3 linked regions of the Schizosaccharomyces pombe genome follow. The gene in region 1 interacts genetically with each later gene. Each region holds a gene or a part of one and is shown in the gene's direction. Other genes may lie near its edges.

Evidence for each region.
Region 2: of pub1 (region 1) and nhe1, a mutation in one rescues a mutant of the other (synthetic rescue), as found in Schizosaccharomyces pombe (one study listed by BioGRID).
Region 3: of pub1 (region 1) and tsc1, changing one suppresses a phenotype caused by changing the other (phenotypic suppression), as found in Schizosaccharomyces pombe (one study listed by BioGRID).

Annotation. Positions count from the first base shown.
Region 1 is NC_003424.3:3,961,199-3,966,692, forward strand, and holds pub1 (HECT-type ubiquitin-protein ligase E3 Pub1), read left to right. Parts: upstream 1-1,867; 5' UTR 1,868-2,124; coding exon 2,125-2,141; intron 2,142-2,192; coding exon 2,193-2,215; intron 2,216-2,266; coding exon 2,267-2,411; intron 2,412-2,553; coding exon 2,554-4,672; 3' UTR 4,673-4,974; downstream 4,975-5,494. Other genes in the region: protein Mtl2, read left to right, coding at 1-310. UniProt on the Schizosaccharomyces pombe protein: E3 ubiquitin-protein ligase which accepts ubiquitin from an E2 ubiquitin-conjugating enzyme in the form of a thioester and then directly transfers the ubiquitin to targeted substrates. Regulates ubiquitination of cdc25.
Region 2 is NC_003424.3:50,008-54,378, forward strand, and holds nhe1 (plasma membrane/prospore membrane sodium ion/proton antiporter Nhe1/Sod2), read left to right. Parts: upstream 1-1,981; 5' UTR 1,982-2,109; coding exon 2,110-2,233; exon of another isoform or gene 2,234-2,310; coding exon 2,311-3,593; 3' UTR 3,594-3,851; downstream 3,852-4,371. UniProt on the Schizosaccharomyces pombe protein: Sodium export from cell, takes up external protons in exchange for internal sodium ions. Involved in regulation of pH.
Region 3 is NC_003424.3:673,464-680,252, reverse strand, and holds tsc1 (Rheb GAP, hamartin Tsc1), read left to right. Parts: upstream 1-1,993; 5' UTR 1,994-2,014; coding exon 2,015-4,714; 3' UTR 4,715-4,932; downstream 4,933-6,789. Other genes in the region: G-protein-signaling regulator Rgs1, read right to left, coding at 1-77; THO complex subunit Tho2, read right to left, coding at 4,933-6,789. UniProt on the Schizosaccharomyces pombe protein: Together with tsc2, required for uptake of various amino acids from the environment and for proper conjugation. Involved in induction of gene expression of permeases and genes required for meiosis upon nitrogen starvation.

The DNA of each region.
Region 1 (5,494 bases):
TGTTGGTGCCGCTGGAGCTGCGGCCGAAGCTGCAGAACACAGTGGTTCTGGTTCAGATTCCTATCCAGAAGGTCCTTTAGCTACGATTCCTGAAAGTGACAGTGAAAGCATGGCTAGTGATTTAGCTGGAGAATCCTCTTACGGCTCGAGGGCAGCTCTGTCTAGTCGATCTCAAAGCAATCTTCTTTCCCCAACAAGCACTGGTGCTTCTAACCAGCCCAATTATTCACCTTTTGCTGACAACCCATCAAGTAGCAACGTTTCTATTCCTCGGTCGTCATCGGAAGCTCGCAGGTTGAACCTGTTTTAAAGTATGCGCTTAAACACTTGTTGCGATAGATTTAAGCAAAAATTATTTGTTTACAATTTCTGGATATATCCGTCGCTTAAAATAAATGCGTTAGTTACGCTTGCCTTCAATTGATGGTAGAAAGTCTTGCGAAGAAAAGCTTGCTCATCACTTTTTCGTATAACAACTTTTTCTTTATTCGGCTTTTACCTTTGTTTTTTACGAAAATCTTAAGTAATCGATCTTTTCAATCTTATTGCTATCTCTTTGTTTTACCGTTACTCACTCATTTCCTTTTTGCTTGAACAGTTTTATGGTATTAGAAATTCACATTCTCATTGCAAAGCTTTGTTATTATTATGGGTTTCGCTTATACCATCTCATACAATCAATTGGTCCGTCGGTTTACTTTCTTTAAAAAAGGAGTTATTTAGCAAACTATTTATCCTTCTTTCAAACTTTCTTTTTAAACTTAACTATTTGCTTTTTCTCATGGCCCTCTTTTTTTAAGAAAATTTCGTTGCTTGCATTTCATTCAAAGTCTTAAATATGTCATCTGGTTCCTTAACTTATTGCTTTTAAATCGACTTCATCTTTTGACTGACTTTTGAATTTTTCTTTCAATTGTTTCACTGTAGTGAGATACAACCCTTAAAAAAGTCTCTTTGGTTTGTTTATTCTTATCCTTTTCTCATTTGCATTTCATTACTTATCAATCATTTCTGTTTCATTCGCCGTTTCGCTTTGTTTTTTCATTTGTACATTTCTTTACAGAATGGCGAATTCTTGTCAAATGCGACGGAAAGCCAATTTTCCTGAATAGTGTAAAACGAAATGAAACTTTTAACAGCTACCTGTTTTCCATCCCATGGTTTCTTGTTATTGAAAGTGGATAGCAAATAGTCTTTATGACCAGCCATTTCAATTTTACTTTCAGTCGCCTAACCAATCTCGTTATCTCATTTCTTTGAAATAAATGTACATACTGTACTTTTTCCTTTTCTTTTCCTTCCGTTCCTTTTTCACCGTCTCGTATATGTAATGGAGCGTCACGTTCCCTTCGCTGCACTTATCGCTCTTACTCTTTCGTCATGTTGAGGACCATCTAGCTCTACTTTCTCTCGTGTGGCTGGATGTTTACTTAACTTTGTTTTGGCCAGCATGCTCGACTACTGATAATTAAAAAATAAAAATTTTGAGCATTGTCTGTTTAAGAGTTGTTGCTAAGTTCTGGCTTTATTACTTTTATTCGCGGCACTCCGTTTGCCTTCTTGTATGTACCTTTTACAATTCTTCGTTTCCTCTCTTTCTTCTCAGTTCTAACTATCACTTGAACGCAAAGTGGTTAGATATACATTTTCCTCATTCTTTCGTATTAAATCAATTTATTAAATGCTTATAGCTTGCAAATCATACATTGTGCTGCATGATATTTACTTTCGTAGTTAACACGTAAAACGTATTTTCTGTACGCCAAAAAAGATAAAGAACAATTTGGTAATCGCGTTGTATATATATAAGGAAATGGGTTATAATGCGTTAAGGATCTAATCTGCAAGACCGATTAATTCTCCTTTCAGCCAACACCACGCGAAATCCGACGGATTTCAAAATTGTGCGCTGAAAGCACGAATTTGATTAAGGATTCCTTTTGTAGTTCTTTTTTATTTATTTCGTTCCCGAAAAAAGCGTTTTTGTATCAAATAGAAAGGATAAAACGGCCTTAATTGAAAGTTTTTTTTGCAAGCACAAATACTTGACTTTCTTTGGGAAATTGGCTTTTTTTTATTATCCAAAAGCAACGCTGGTTTGAAATTTTACCATCTTTTCCCCCTATGTCAAACTCAGCTCAGTAAGTAGTTCTTTAACTGCTATAAACACATTTGCTAACTTTTATGATTAGATCTCGTCGAATTCGAGTAACAAGTATGTGATGACATTATTCAAATGCCCTGTGCAAACGCTGACCCAAAATAGTTGTTGCTGCTGATGGCCTTTACAAACGAGATGTGTTTCGTTTTCCTGACCCGTTTGCGGTACTAACAGTGGATGGTGAGCAAACACATACCACAACTGCTATCAAAAAGACGTTAAACCCTTATTGGAATGAGACTTTTGAAGTGTAAGTGTATATCCCAGGTTTTGACCTTTCCAAGTAACTTTTATGTATATCAATTTTAGTTGGGGTTTCTTCCAGTTTATCCCTTATAATTTAGCTAATGTTAACTTTTTGATTAAAAACAATGTTTCTAACAATTCTTTAGTAATGTTACAGATAATAGCACCATTGCGATTCAGGTGTTCGATCAGAAAAAATTTAAGAAAAAAGGCCAAGGCTTTCTAGGAGTGATAAATCTTCGTGTTGGAGATGTGCTCGATCTCGCCATTGGAGGTGATGAAATGTTGACCCGCGATTTGAAAAAGTCAAATGAGAATACAGTAGTTCATGGCAAGATAATCATAAACTTATCAACGACTGCGCAGTCAACCTTACAGGTTCCATCCAGTGCAGCATCAGGTGCACGTACCCAACGTACTAGCATTACCAATGACCCGCAAAGCTCACAAAGTAGCAGTGTGTCTCGTAACCCTGCTTCCTCTCGTGCTGGTTCACCTACCCGCGACAACGCACCTGCTGCTTCCCCTGCTAGTTCAGAACCTCGCACATTTAGTTCATTTGAAGATCAATATGGGCGCCTTCCTCCTGGATGGGAAAGACGTACCGATAATCTTGGCCGAACTTATTATGTAGATCATAATACAAGAAGCACAACGTGGATTCGCCCCAACCTAAGTTCTGTTGCCGGAGCAGCCGCAGCCGAATTGCATAGTAGTGCATCGTCTGCGAATGTTACCGAAGGTGTTCAACCTTCCTCTAGCAATGCAGCTCGTCGTACAGAAGCTAGTGTTTTGACCTCTAACGCTACTACTGCTGGTTCAGGAGAGCTTCCACCGGGATGGGAGCAAAGGTATACACCAGAGGGTCGACCCTACTTTGTGGATCATAATACGCGAACTACTACTTGGGTGGATCCGCGCCGTCAACAGTACATTCGTTCCTATGGCGGTCCTAATAATGCTACTATTCAGCAACAACCTGTCTCTCAACTTGGTCCTTTGCCAAGTGGTTGGGAAATGCGTCTTACCAATACTGCTCGTGTATATTTTGTTGATCACAATACCAAGACTACCACTTGGGATGATCCTCGTTTACCTTCGTCGTTAGATCAAAACGTTCCTCAATACAAACGTGATTTCCGTAGAAAGTTGATTTATTTCCTTTCGCAACCAGCTTTGCATCCTTTGCCAGGGCAGTGCCACATTAAAGTGCGTAGAAATCATATCTTTGAAGATTCGTATGCGGAAATTATGAGACAATCTGCAACCGATTTGAAAAAACGTTTGATGATTAAGTTTGATGGTGAAGATGGTTTGGATTACGGTGGATTATCCCGTGAATACTTCTTTTTGTTATCACATGAAATGTTCAACCCCTTTTATTGTTTATTTGAATACTCTTCGGTTGATAATTATACGCTTCAAATTAATCCTCATTCTGGCATTAATCCAGAGCATTTGAACTATTTCAAGTTCATAGGCCGAGTCATTGGTCTCGCAATTTTCCATCGTCGGTTTGTTGATGCCTTTTTCGTTGTTTCTTTTTACAAAATGATTTTACAAAAGAAGGTGACGTTACAGGATATGGAAAGTATGGATGCAGAGTATTATCGAAGTTTAGTCTGGATTTTGGACAACGATATAACCGGTGTTCTTGATTTGACCTTTAGTGTCGAAGACAATTGTTTTGGCGAGGTTGTTACGATTGATTTGAAGCCGAATGGTCGAAACATTGAAGTTACAGAAGAGAATAAACGCGAATATGTTGATTTGGTGACTGTATGGCGCATTCAAAAACGTATAGAAGAGCAGTTTAATGCATTTCATGAAGGTTTTAGTGAGCTCATACCACAGGAACTGATTAACGTGTTTGACGAGAGAGAATTGGAGTTGTTGATTGGAGGCATTTCCGAAATTGACATGGAGGATTGGAAGAAGCATACGGATTATCGTTCATACAGTGAAAATGACCAGATTATTAAATGGTTTTGGGAACTTATGGATGAATGGAGTAATGAAAAGAAATCCAGACTTTTACAATTTACCACTGGTACTAGCCGAATTCCTGTCAACGGGTTCAAAGATTTGCAAGGAAGTGATGGCCCCCGTAAGTTTACTATTGAAAAAGCTGGTGAACCCAATAAACTTCCCAAGGCCCACACCTGTTTCAATCGACTTGATCTTCCTCCTTATACTTCGAAAAAAGATTTGGATCATAAATTGTCCATAGCTGTTGAAGAGACGATTGGTTTTGGTCAGGAGTAAAATGGATAGCTAGCTATTGATTACTTTTGATATTTGAACTATTGGTGTTTAACAGTGAAAAAGAATTTCTGTGTAAAGTTTCCGAAATTATTTTTTTTTTCTCATTTGAGTGAAAATACTTGGATCATCATGTTCTACCTTTGTGTTCTCTACTACCATTTTCCTTCTTCTTTTTATACTTGTTTGCAAACACATTTCCTCTTAATGCTCTTCGCACAAAACATATAAGTTAATTTACTATTATTAAGTTACGTACTGCATAAGTGATTTTATATTTATGAAATTACCGCCCTTTTTCAACATTTTATTTGAAACTGTGAGTAAATAGGTAGTTAGTTGGTAAGGTTTTTGTATCCTGTCCAGGTCGTTGCTTATGTGGTAGTTACCTGGTCACCGTAGTAAATAGATGACATGAAAAGTTTACCCACAACTATAGGCTTTATTGAATGAAAAGGGCTTATTAAGAAAACAATAGCCGCTTCAATACATGTGTAATCAGACCGCAGAGCTATGACAGTGAAGTTGTGTTTATTATCGTAAACATTTATCATTTGTTAGTAATAAGTTGAATGCTTATACATTGGTCAAAATTCAGTAATATCGAATTCGATAACTATGAAATCTCGTGCAAATATTTATTTTTTGGATGTGTGAACCTATAGTAAATAGTATAAATTCTTATAGCGAGTTAAAAAACAGTATAAACCTTGATATTAGAGTAGAAGGTGAAATATCGTGATACAACTACAAAAAGTATTCTTTTAAAGAGGTTAAAATGTCATTGGATAAGGTAACAGAATAAGGTTCGTAAATTGCTACCTT
Region 2 (4,371 bases), 3.9 Mb from region 1:
GTATAATAATTATTTTTGTTGGAGATAAATAGTATAATAGTGCGCGGTTTCGCAAGTGCAGATTTAATTTCGCTGCTCGTTTATGACCTTTTTTATTTTCAAGTAACATTTTGACATATGCAGATAAACTTTAGTTGTCTATACATGCGTCAGTTGGCCAAGTTACTCATCCGCGATACTTCAGCGTGATTTGTTACACAATAAGAGTAAAATTGTAGAGTAGAATTCGTATTTTCCTATTTATTTATATCTATTTTATCGGTCATTTTATCTACTCGCTTTTTTTTTAATATCATATTTTTAGCAATGCCATTTACAGCTTTTTTTCACCGCCAAGATAAGTCTTGTATTCAAACAGCGTTGCTTATCGAAGCTCCTACTTTTTGAATGCTGAAATGCAGTACAAACGTTCAGTAATAGTACCAAATAAATCTTTGTACGTTGGATACTCTAGTACTGTACCATCAGGCTACGTTACCAAATGATGAATGTGCATTCAGAAATATTATAGCCACGATGCTAAGCTCGTACTTTAGGTGAAAGACATGTTTCATTAAACATATCAGGCCCTCTTCACTATCGAAATTCTTATGTCTTTGGACCAATTGATAAGGTTTACAATCCTGTATCATTAGGTACAGTGGGTTAACTAGCTAGTGTACTAGATGACATGCAATCAACAGCGCTTTTAAAGAAATATTTAAAAATGACATTTCTTTATTACTATAAAAAAATAAAAAGAATTGTATAAAGTCTCGGTTGTTATCCTCTTAAATTAATTAGCTCAATGGCAGATATTACAATATACGAAAAATTCAGTGACCAATCTGTTGGGTACGATTAGGGCTGACCTCATCAAATTATAGTCTCGTTTGTTCAAGCTAAGTAAAAAATTAGGCTTGCTTTACAGCGAAAATAATATATATTCATATATAACAACGGTTTATTGTTTAAAGGCTAGAAGTAATGAAAATCGTCTTTTATAAAAGTCTAAATAGTATGAAATTTGATATTAAGTAAGCGAGTGGCCTTAAACGCTCTATATTCTGGATCTGCAACTCATGGGGTGAGACTCGGTTGTGTCTATGTAACTAACCTTGCCACCACATTGTGCATGAAAGCAAATGATTCATTTAAACGTAAAGTGTTTCTCGTTTTATTTGACATGAAAGGAGCTCTTGAATTCTTCCTAAGTTGTTCATGAGGAGAAATTGTCCACTGAAAAAGAACAAGTTCAAACATTCGCTCATGACTTTTCTCCTGCCCGTAATCGAAATACCAAATTCCTTCTGTGTTCGGTAGTCAATACCTTGGCCGTTATCTCATCAATTAACAAGTTTCCCCCACCAATGTGATTATAGGCCTGGCAATTCCTTTGACAGAACGTGTCAACTGGATATTTGTGTAATTTCGTCGTTCTCGTTAATCCCATACAGTTTTTCATTGCTAATTTAACTCTACATATGGTTGAATTACAAGAGTGCTTGTTTTATGCTCACTACTTCCTTTTTTAAGTAGTATAAAAGATTGACTTCTGTTACACTAGTAATCAAATCCTATAGAAAGAATTTTCAATATTTTTGATTTATTGCCACTTATGTCATATTGAGATAAAATGCCTTAATCCAATCAGGTCTTTTTAGCTAAGTTATAATCAAAGCTTTTTGCTGCCGAGGTATTAATAGCTTACAAGTGAGTACACAACACCCTTTCAATCAATTTAATGGTGCTAAATTTATATAAACATACGATGTATAACAATCGCACAATATTTACAATTCACTATCCTGCTAAAATTGTATAAAAAAAAATAATATAACAGCCCACCTCAAATGTGCTTAATCAGTCTCAGTGAATTTAAAATTGAATAGTTACTTAAAAGGCATGTTTTTTAAGTTGATAAGCGTTAAAACCCAAGTAACAAGCTTTGTTACTCCAATCAAAAAGATAACTAAGGTACCCCGGTCCTCAAGTATAAACCACAGGCATGCACGCATCAGTCCGTGGCTAACTGTATCTTTTGCCACATTTTATGTCGAATACTCTAAAAAAAATATTATAGGAATTTATTACAAGAAAACATTCTCTTGTGGATATTGCCTAATTACTATGGGCTGGAGACAACTTGATATAGACAAAGTCCATTTAGCTTTAATAGTGGCCGGGGGATTTATAACATTTTTCTGCTATTTTTCAGAAGTTTTTCGAAAAAAATTACTAGTTGGAGAAGCTGGTACGTTGAAGATATTGTATAGGGTGGTTTTTGAAAATTAGCAATTGATATAAAATAAGACTAATACTAGTGTGTAGTTCTTGGAAGTATCACTGGATTAATATTTGGGCCTCATGCTGCTAAACTCGTAGACCCTTTTTCCTGGGGTGACCATGGAGATTACTTGACAGTAGAGATTTGTAGAATCGTACTTGATGTGCGTGTGTTTGCTTCTGCAATAGAACTCCCCGGTGCATATTTTCAACATAATTTTCGAAGCATCATTGTAATGCTATTACCAGTTATGGCTTACGGGTGGTTAGTTACAGCTGGATTTGCATATGCATTGTTTCCACAAATTAACTTTTTAGGATCTTTGCTGATCGCAGGATGTATAACTTCTACTGATCCTGTTCTATCAGCATTGATTGTAGGAGAAGGTCCATTAGCTAAAAAGACTCCTGAACGGATTCGGTCTTTATTGATCGCTGAGTCTGGATGTAATGATGGAATGGCGGTTCCTTTTTTCTATTTTGCTATCAAACTTCTTACTGTTAAGCCATCGAGGAATGCAGGGAGGGATTGGGTGCTGCTTGTTGTGTTGTATGAATGTGCATTTGGTATATTTTTTGGGTGTGTAATAGGGTATCTTTTATCGTTCATTTTAAAGCACGCTCAGAAATACCGTTTAATTGATGCTATTAGTTATTATTCCCTTCCGCTAGCGATACCTTTATTATGTTCTGGGATAGGAACTATTATTGGAGTTGATGACCTGTTGATGTCCTTTTTTGCTGGAATATTATTTAACTGGAATGATTTATTTTCCAAAAATATATCTGCTTGTTCTGTACCTGCTTTTATTGATCAGACTTTTAGTTTACTATTTTTTACCTATTATGGTACAATCATTCCCTGGAATAATTTTAATTGGTCTGTTGAAGGCTTGCCTGTTTGGCGTTTAATTGTCTTTAGCATATTGACTCTAGTTTGTCGTCGATTACCGGTTGTATTTTCGGTGAAGCCTTTAGTTCCGGACATTAAGACATGGAAAGAAGCCCTTTTCGTTGGACATTTCGGACCAATAGGGGTTTGCGCAGTTTATATGGCATTTCTTGCAAAATTACTGTTGTCCCCGGATGAAATTGAAAAGAGTATTTATGAATCAACTACAGTATTTTCAACACTTAATGAAATAATTTGGCCGATCATTTCGTTTGTTATCTTATCCTCAATCATTGTTCATGGTTTCAGTATCCATGTATTAGTGATTTGGGGAAAGTTAAAAAGTCTGTATTTAAATCGAAAAGTCACCAAGTCCGATTCCGATTTGGAGTTACAAGTAATAGGGGTTGATAAGTCACAGGAAGATTACGTTTAGGAAAGCTCTTTTAATGTCAATTCGGATTTCCAAATTATTTTCAAATGTATTGTGAATCGCTGTCTCTGGTCAAAAAGATTACTGCACTCATATTTTGAAATTCCTTCTATAGTTGATATATACTATAAGATAAGTGATTCTCAGAATCACAAGGCTAACCACCAACAGGGATGGAGTGTATATTTTTGTTGTACATATATATTATCTACAATAGAGTAATTTTCGGCTTCTATAATTCATTTATTTTCTTACTACTCTAAAAATATTGTATAATTTCTAAAACTGATCAAGATACTGAGAAAAGTACAAATCGTTATTTAATTTGTAATTTATTTTGATGGCTAAAACTTACCAATATTCGTTCGCTTCAAACAATACCAATCTTACGAAACACCTTACGCTTCATCAAAGTCTACTTTGGATCACCTAATATTTTATTATTTGTTGTTGTAATTATACAAACTAATACTATTTTATGTAAGAAACTAAGAAAACGGAAAATCAATAGCTACTTTGTGTATATAAATAGCAATCAAATTAAAACTTGATAAATCTCACCTACTAAAACACATCAACGTACTTCAAAGGGCCTAACTACTATAAGACTTGGTAATATTTAAATAGTGTTTCTATTAGTAGGTAGCTTCAAAGTATGTATAAAGCTTTTGGAAGTAGATGAAGTATTGAATATCTCCTCCTAGATCAGTTATTAACTAAGTACGACTGAACCGGTGCTCCCAATTTAGTTGCAATCTATTTAGATGAGCTAGAATATAAT
Region 3 (6,789 bases), 3.3 Mb from region 1:
ATTGAATTTCCGTTGCGATAAGACGTAACAGCTTCATAACTGGGCGGTGGTGAAGAAGGGTTATGAAGGGCGGGCATCCAAAGCTGATTCTTACTTTTACGAATTTGTAGCCTTTTATCATAAATAATAAAGTGATGAACAAAAGAATTGTGATCTTGCTAAGCGAAAAAGCGACAGAGATCGGGCAGCCAAGCACAATGGAGTGTTAAATATTGTTTCTTTTATTTTTTTAAAAGATAAAAGAGAAGTACAGAACTCAAATAAGATAAAAGAAATTTAAATATATAGTAATAGTCCCACTTTCTTGATTACCGTCAATTTTTATAATCAATTACGGGTAATTCGATACTAAATCAGGTCTCCAGCTGTTTTCAATAGGTCTGATCCCTATTAAATTTAAAATCGAATGAAGGATTGGAGCAATTTTGTAAACGTCGATATAGGCACACTGATGAAAATTCGGGAAATGCCTTAGTATTTATACTTCGAAGTTTCCCATCTAACCATTGCTATACGCTTTCTTTTAAACAAAGAAATCATTAAATGGCGAACAATGGGAACTTTAACGGAACAAAGAACATTGTGCAATTGATTTGTTTACCCCAACAAATTAACAGTGAGAAAGCAGAACAAAGAAAACAGGTAGCAATTTCCACCTTTCGTCAACTTATTCCGAAAGGGGTTTTAATGAATCGGTAAATTTCATGTGATAACACCGATTGAATAATAATAAAAAAAGAATCAAAATAAGACATTTAAACAAGGATATGCAGTCGCTTGCCTATTTTTTGAAAGGAAATATTATATAAACTAGTAGAAGGAGATATGCTATGGCTGGATAATTCACAGATGGTTGGTAAATAAAGCTTACCCAGCACTCCTGGAGACTGGGGAAAAACAAAAAGTAAAAGAAGTAAGCAAAAAAGGATTATAAACAGTTACAGATATTTTGATACTTCTTAGTTGTTCACTGCATCTCTCCTGTTAGTTCCATTGGGTACTGAAATGACCCCAAAATATGCAATGAAAATGAAATGGCTTTTGTTATGAAACTTTACATCGCCAACTTGGAAGACTTTAAGATATAAATTAAAAAATATTGGTGTTTGTAATTATTTACAAGCACCGGCTTTCCCTTTTCCATGACTATATTCTTTTCTACTTTGCGCCTTGCAACGCTTCTTACACCTGCCCTATAAAAGTTTTTTTTTATTAATGAAATATTTTCTCTCTAAGTGACTGTAACACACTGTGGAATAACATAGCAGTTAAGAGTATGTCGTTAAAAGTGCTTGAATATGTTACCATAATATTAGACCGACTCAAATTATTTGCCCTCTAACTTCCTTTGAAAGAAAAGTTCCCTAGGAATCCTTAATAGTAAAACCGTTTTCTTTTTATTTTTACATGTTTATTCAGAGAACTCTCAATGTGTTTTCGCATTGTTTGCTTTCGTATTTCCTCTGTGCTGAAAATGCGAACACTGCCTACTATACTGTATAGTCCTAGAAATCAATACTTAATACATTCTTTAAATTTTGGAGATGGATCAAGTACCATGGTATAGATGATGTTTACATAATTTGGATAAAAATTACAACTTACTTTACTACTTATGATTCCTTCAAATAAAGCTTGTTTAAAACAACGTTCCTCAATTCAATTTTTAGCTATATAAGTGTAATTATAAATACTTCTTGGTATTCTTAACGAGTATTTTAGGATATTTATAACTATTTACAATAAATTTATTATACTATGTACATTACACTAAAAAATATCATTGCAGTACTATCGTATCTTAAAAACGAATTACGACCTGTATGGTTGACATGTAATCTAGTTAAAGGATTTTTGGATAGCGCTGTATAATTTGGTTGAAAATGCAAAGACTAATTAAAAAAATGTGGCAGACTACGCTATCCTCGTTACGTTTATCAATGCTGCCAAGACTTGCTATCAGTATAATGTCGCATAGTTGTATATCAACGTTGACTTTGCCAACTTTGTACGAATGCCGCTGCAATCGCTAGTCAAAGCATTATGGAACGTCCTTCATGAAGAAGAATCGGAAGGCTATCCCGATTTGACTGAGTTAATTGCGGAAGTTGAGTCGTATCAGCAGCGTTATCCCAAACAAAACCCCACTAACTCACAAAAAATAAGACACATCTTGGACGAGATCTACGAAAAGACGCCGTTCAATAATACAAGGCGACGGATACTATGGCTAGCTGTGTTGAAAACGGTTATACCGTTGTTGATTTTGGATCGCCAAGCAGTTGGTGAATGGTGGGACCAGATCTTTTTTCCTTTCTTGAATTCTCCTACCCAATTGAAACCGGTATTTAGTGACTTGAAAAGTATTTTATTTTACATTTTAATTTTTCACGACGAGGATGAATGGGGTGGAGACTTGAGACGGGAGTGCGCTGAGGAAACTATCACTCGTTTGGTTGACCTTTACGTTTCTAAAGCTATCGAAAATCTAGGTGACGTGGAATCTCAAGAGCAAAGGAATCAAACTATTGAATGCTTGGTTAATGTTCTCGTCCATTATGGGATACAGAGACCAAAGGAACTTTCTTCTTGTTTTTGTCATCATTTTTTAAATCCTCCAACCCGAATCCCTATTTTATCAGTTATGGTTGAAGTAATACGGCGGCAAGGTCCTCGTTTATATGAAATACCACAGACTGGCTTCTATGACCTTGTTTTAAAATGTGCGGAATTTGATACTTCACCAATCTTACTGTCGTATGCATTATCTTTCATCCTTATGATACTGTCTCACATTTGTAACTCCTTAGACGATTCCTTATATAGATTGTTCTGTATCTATCTTCGATTTTCAATGATTGACCCGACCTCTGGCTTCCCATCGTCTACTGCGTCTGGTAATTGGGAGGTGTTTCACGATTTTATGTCAACGTATGCCTCAACTACCACCTCTCAAACAGATAGCTCTTACAATGATGTTCATGATATTGTTGGTTCTTCTCAACCAGATTATCTCGAAAGTCTTGACTACTCTCAACTTTTCTCAATTTTGTACGCTCTGTACCCTATAAACTTTTTAGAGTTTCTTCGGGATCCTAAGTTGTATGCTTCTAAACATAATTTCCAAATACGTTATTCCTTTAATCAAGAACTCCTCTCCACAAAGTCGGATGGTCTTCTCGGTAGACATTTGGCACATTCTAATTTTCTTAAATATACAGCAGAAACAGAACTTACCGATAAATCCCGTTGGACAAGACTTGATTCTATTGCTGTAGTGGCCCTATGTAATAGTCTTAACGCTGTTGGAATAGCCGAAAGTGTTATGGATCCTTTTGGTGGTAAGCTTCCCACCACTTATGAAGAGACAAGTTCAGCTACTGGATTATTGGCCTATCCAAATGAAAGCCATGATATTGCTTCTGAGCCTTTTTCCATATCTTGGCCTCAAAATCCATCAATATCGGGTTCTGTTCATTCCGCGACTACATTTGACAAAGCCCAATTATCAAATACTGAAGATTCTTATGATAATATTTCGCATGGTACATCATATAGTGAAGGTGTTTCCTCAATTCACATGGTTAAAGGTGAACGCGGCTCAAATAATTTGGAACTGACTAGTGAAAGTTTGAGCAGCACGAACGATACAATTCGACGCTTACAAAGGGATCTGCTATTTCTTCAGAATGAGCTCCGTTTTGAAAAATTTGTTCGTCAGCAGCACTTGCAAAATATTGGAAAGCTTCATCGTGAGCACATACTAGATATGGCTGTGGAATCAGAAAGGCAAAAATTGCTTTTAACCAACAAAAGATATAAAGCTCAGATAGAGTTACTGAATTCTGAAATTGACAAACATCGCTCAGAATCACAGGCAGCTCTAAATCGTAGGGTTAAGTGGGAAAATGATTTTAACAACAAAATAAAAGCGTTACGAGAAGAAAAGAAAGCTTGGAAAAGTGAAGAATCAGAACTCAAATCATCAATTGAATCATTAATCTCGCAATTGGAATCAATACGAAATTCTCAAATTGACATTGCGTTTTCAAAAAATCAACTGGAGTTGAAGCTTCAACTCTATGAAACTAAGTTGAAAGAATATGAACAGCATTTGAGCTGCGTTAATATCTCCAAAAAGCAAGTCTCTTCGAGCTCTGATACTTCTTTTGGAAATACGAAGATGGACAGTAGTATGATTCTCTCTAACAGTGAAGCTGTTAGTGATGAGCAAGAAAGAGAGTTGATCGAGTCAGAAAAACATCGAATGAAACTGGAATCAGAAAACTTGCATCTTCAAGCTAATATTGAGCTACTGAAAAAGGACCTGGAAGCCATTAATGTTGTTTACGAGGCTAAGATTTTTGATTTGGAAAAACGACTTTCATCTGAAGCGAACGCACCTGAGTTGCATAATCCTGTCAACTTAAATTACGACGCTCAGTTGTCTAAAATATCCGAAATAAAAGAAAATTACGATGAGCTATTAACGCGGTACCGTGAGTTGGAGGGCAAGTTTTTAGAATCACAAGCTGAGGTCGAAGAATTAAAAAACTTTCAAAAACCGCTTGTTGATACTGGAAGCTCAATACACAGTAGCCCTGGTTTGCAACAAAGCAAGTTCATAATTCGTAATGACTCTTTGCATCCTAAAGTTGGCCCGCCACGTAGACAGTCTACTGATACAAGTCGTTCTACGTTTCGCCAATACTAAGTAGGTATATTTTTGAAGGTCCTTGAAATGAACTGGTCAATTATGATAAAACATACTTGCTCATTCCATATAAAATAATTAGATTACGATTTTTCACGACCATCATAATTCTGTGTATGAATCTCCTTATATAAAGATTTTTCATTATTTCCTTGTAATTACAAATTTAGTTAGATAAGAAAAAAAAGCTGACATCTAGTTAAAGCTTGAAACGTGGATCATTGAATTTTTCTTCTTTTCTCTTCTCGAGCAGATCGAGATGTTCTATCCCGTGGACGATCTCTTTGCTGTCGTGAATCCCGATCCCTTCGGTCGTCTTGCCTGGCCCTACGACGAGAATTTTCTCTTTCATCTTCCTCTCGTAGGTTGCTCGGGCTTTGACTATCCGAAGATCGGGGACGTTTATTTGAAGCATAATGAGTGCTACGACGACCATCTGCATCTCTGGAATCATTTCCCCTATTAGATCCATTACTTCTTCCAGCCCGACTAATAGCATTATTCTGCCGAGAATTACTCTCGCCAGAAATATCTTGCCTTTTGTTTTTATCTTTCCCTTCTGTAACCTCATCACGTTTATTATCGTTGCTTGTCCTATGATTAGCTTCAGACGAGCGCTCTCTTGAAACATTAGTGCTATTGTTATTAGACACTCGAGGGTTGCGATTTACGTTTCCATTTTGGCGCCATCTGTCAGATTTCTGTGATTCATGTTCACGCCTAGCATTTAGGTTTTGTGCTTGCTGAGGCTCGCGTCGAGTATGACGAGACACGCTCCTTAAATTATCGTTGTTTTCATTTGTAAAACTTCTTGATTGAGGTGTTCGGTCTCTAGACTGATCCTCTCGCAATTTACTGTCTGATCTTTGTATATCCTCATTCGTAGGGGTGCGTGTTCGTAAAGCACGTCTGTTTCCTTCAGGAGTTGTTTTTCTACGTCTTTCTTCTTGTTTTCTTTCATTAGCTGAGCTTCTAGCTTCAACCCTTTTCTCTACTGCCTTGTTCTCAACAAGATTTTTATTGTCAGTTTCAGAAGCAACTGCGTCGGAAGGCGTACTATCAGGTACAAACTCTGGTGCACTAGGATTCAAAGCTACTTTCTGTTTATCAATCTTTGCCTGTTCTTCCGATATGGAAGCAGTTTTGGAATCAACTGCTGATGTAGCTGCCACTGAAAGTTGTTGCGGTCTCTGAAGCTTTTCTGAATTACTCGGCCTTACAGTACCAGAAAATGAATTAAAAGAAACCCATTCTGGTTGCTTTTTTGAGAGCTTTGCAAAATACCCCAAAGCCAAAACCTTTAAATCTTCTCGTTTTTCTTCGTCCTTTAATCGTTCAGCGGCTCGTTTCAAAGCACTGCCACTTTCAATTATCAATGGGAAACATGGCAAAATTTTTTCCAAGATTATGACACTATTGTAGATATGCATATATTCAGTAGATAGTAAGCATGACTCAAAATAAGATGTTAGATATTTGTGCCATTTACTAAATAGCAAAACAAATTTGTTATAAGGAAGGACAGCGGAAAGATCGGGATCATTTTGTTCGTCAGACCAATATAACCTGAACCCAGGCAAAGCACCATTTGCCAAACATTCGCGTTCGTAAAGAATTTTGTCCCTGTACCAGCTAGTAATATCATAGAGTACTTCGTATAAAAATCTTCCAAAATTATCAGCCTCTCGTTGTGTCATTGAAAAAATAAATGAAGGCAATTGTGAATTAAACAAAATTTCTAAAAATGACATAGTTGAAAAGTTTGGTGTTCCAAGACTGTGCAAAAGCTTTACAAACTTTGCGCAGTACAAAGCATCATGTGGGCTCATTTTTAAACGGGGAGCAATGCAGAGTGTCCACAAATACCGAGCACAGTTGAATCTAGCATGCTCAAGTCTTGTACCATTAGGAAAAACACCATTTGGAATAAACCATTTCACGCAGTCACCTTGCAAAACTTTTCTTACACTCTCAAGTGAATTAATGTGTTCTTTAAGTTCATTCTGTAAGCTGTTAGACAATTGCATTATTTTTTGTCGGTCGTGTCGATGTCGTGAATAAAATGTGTTAGCGGC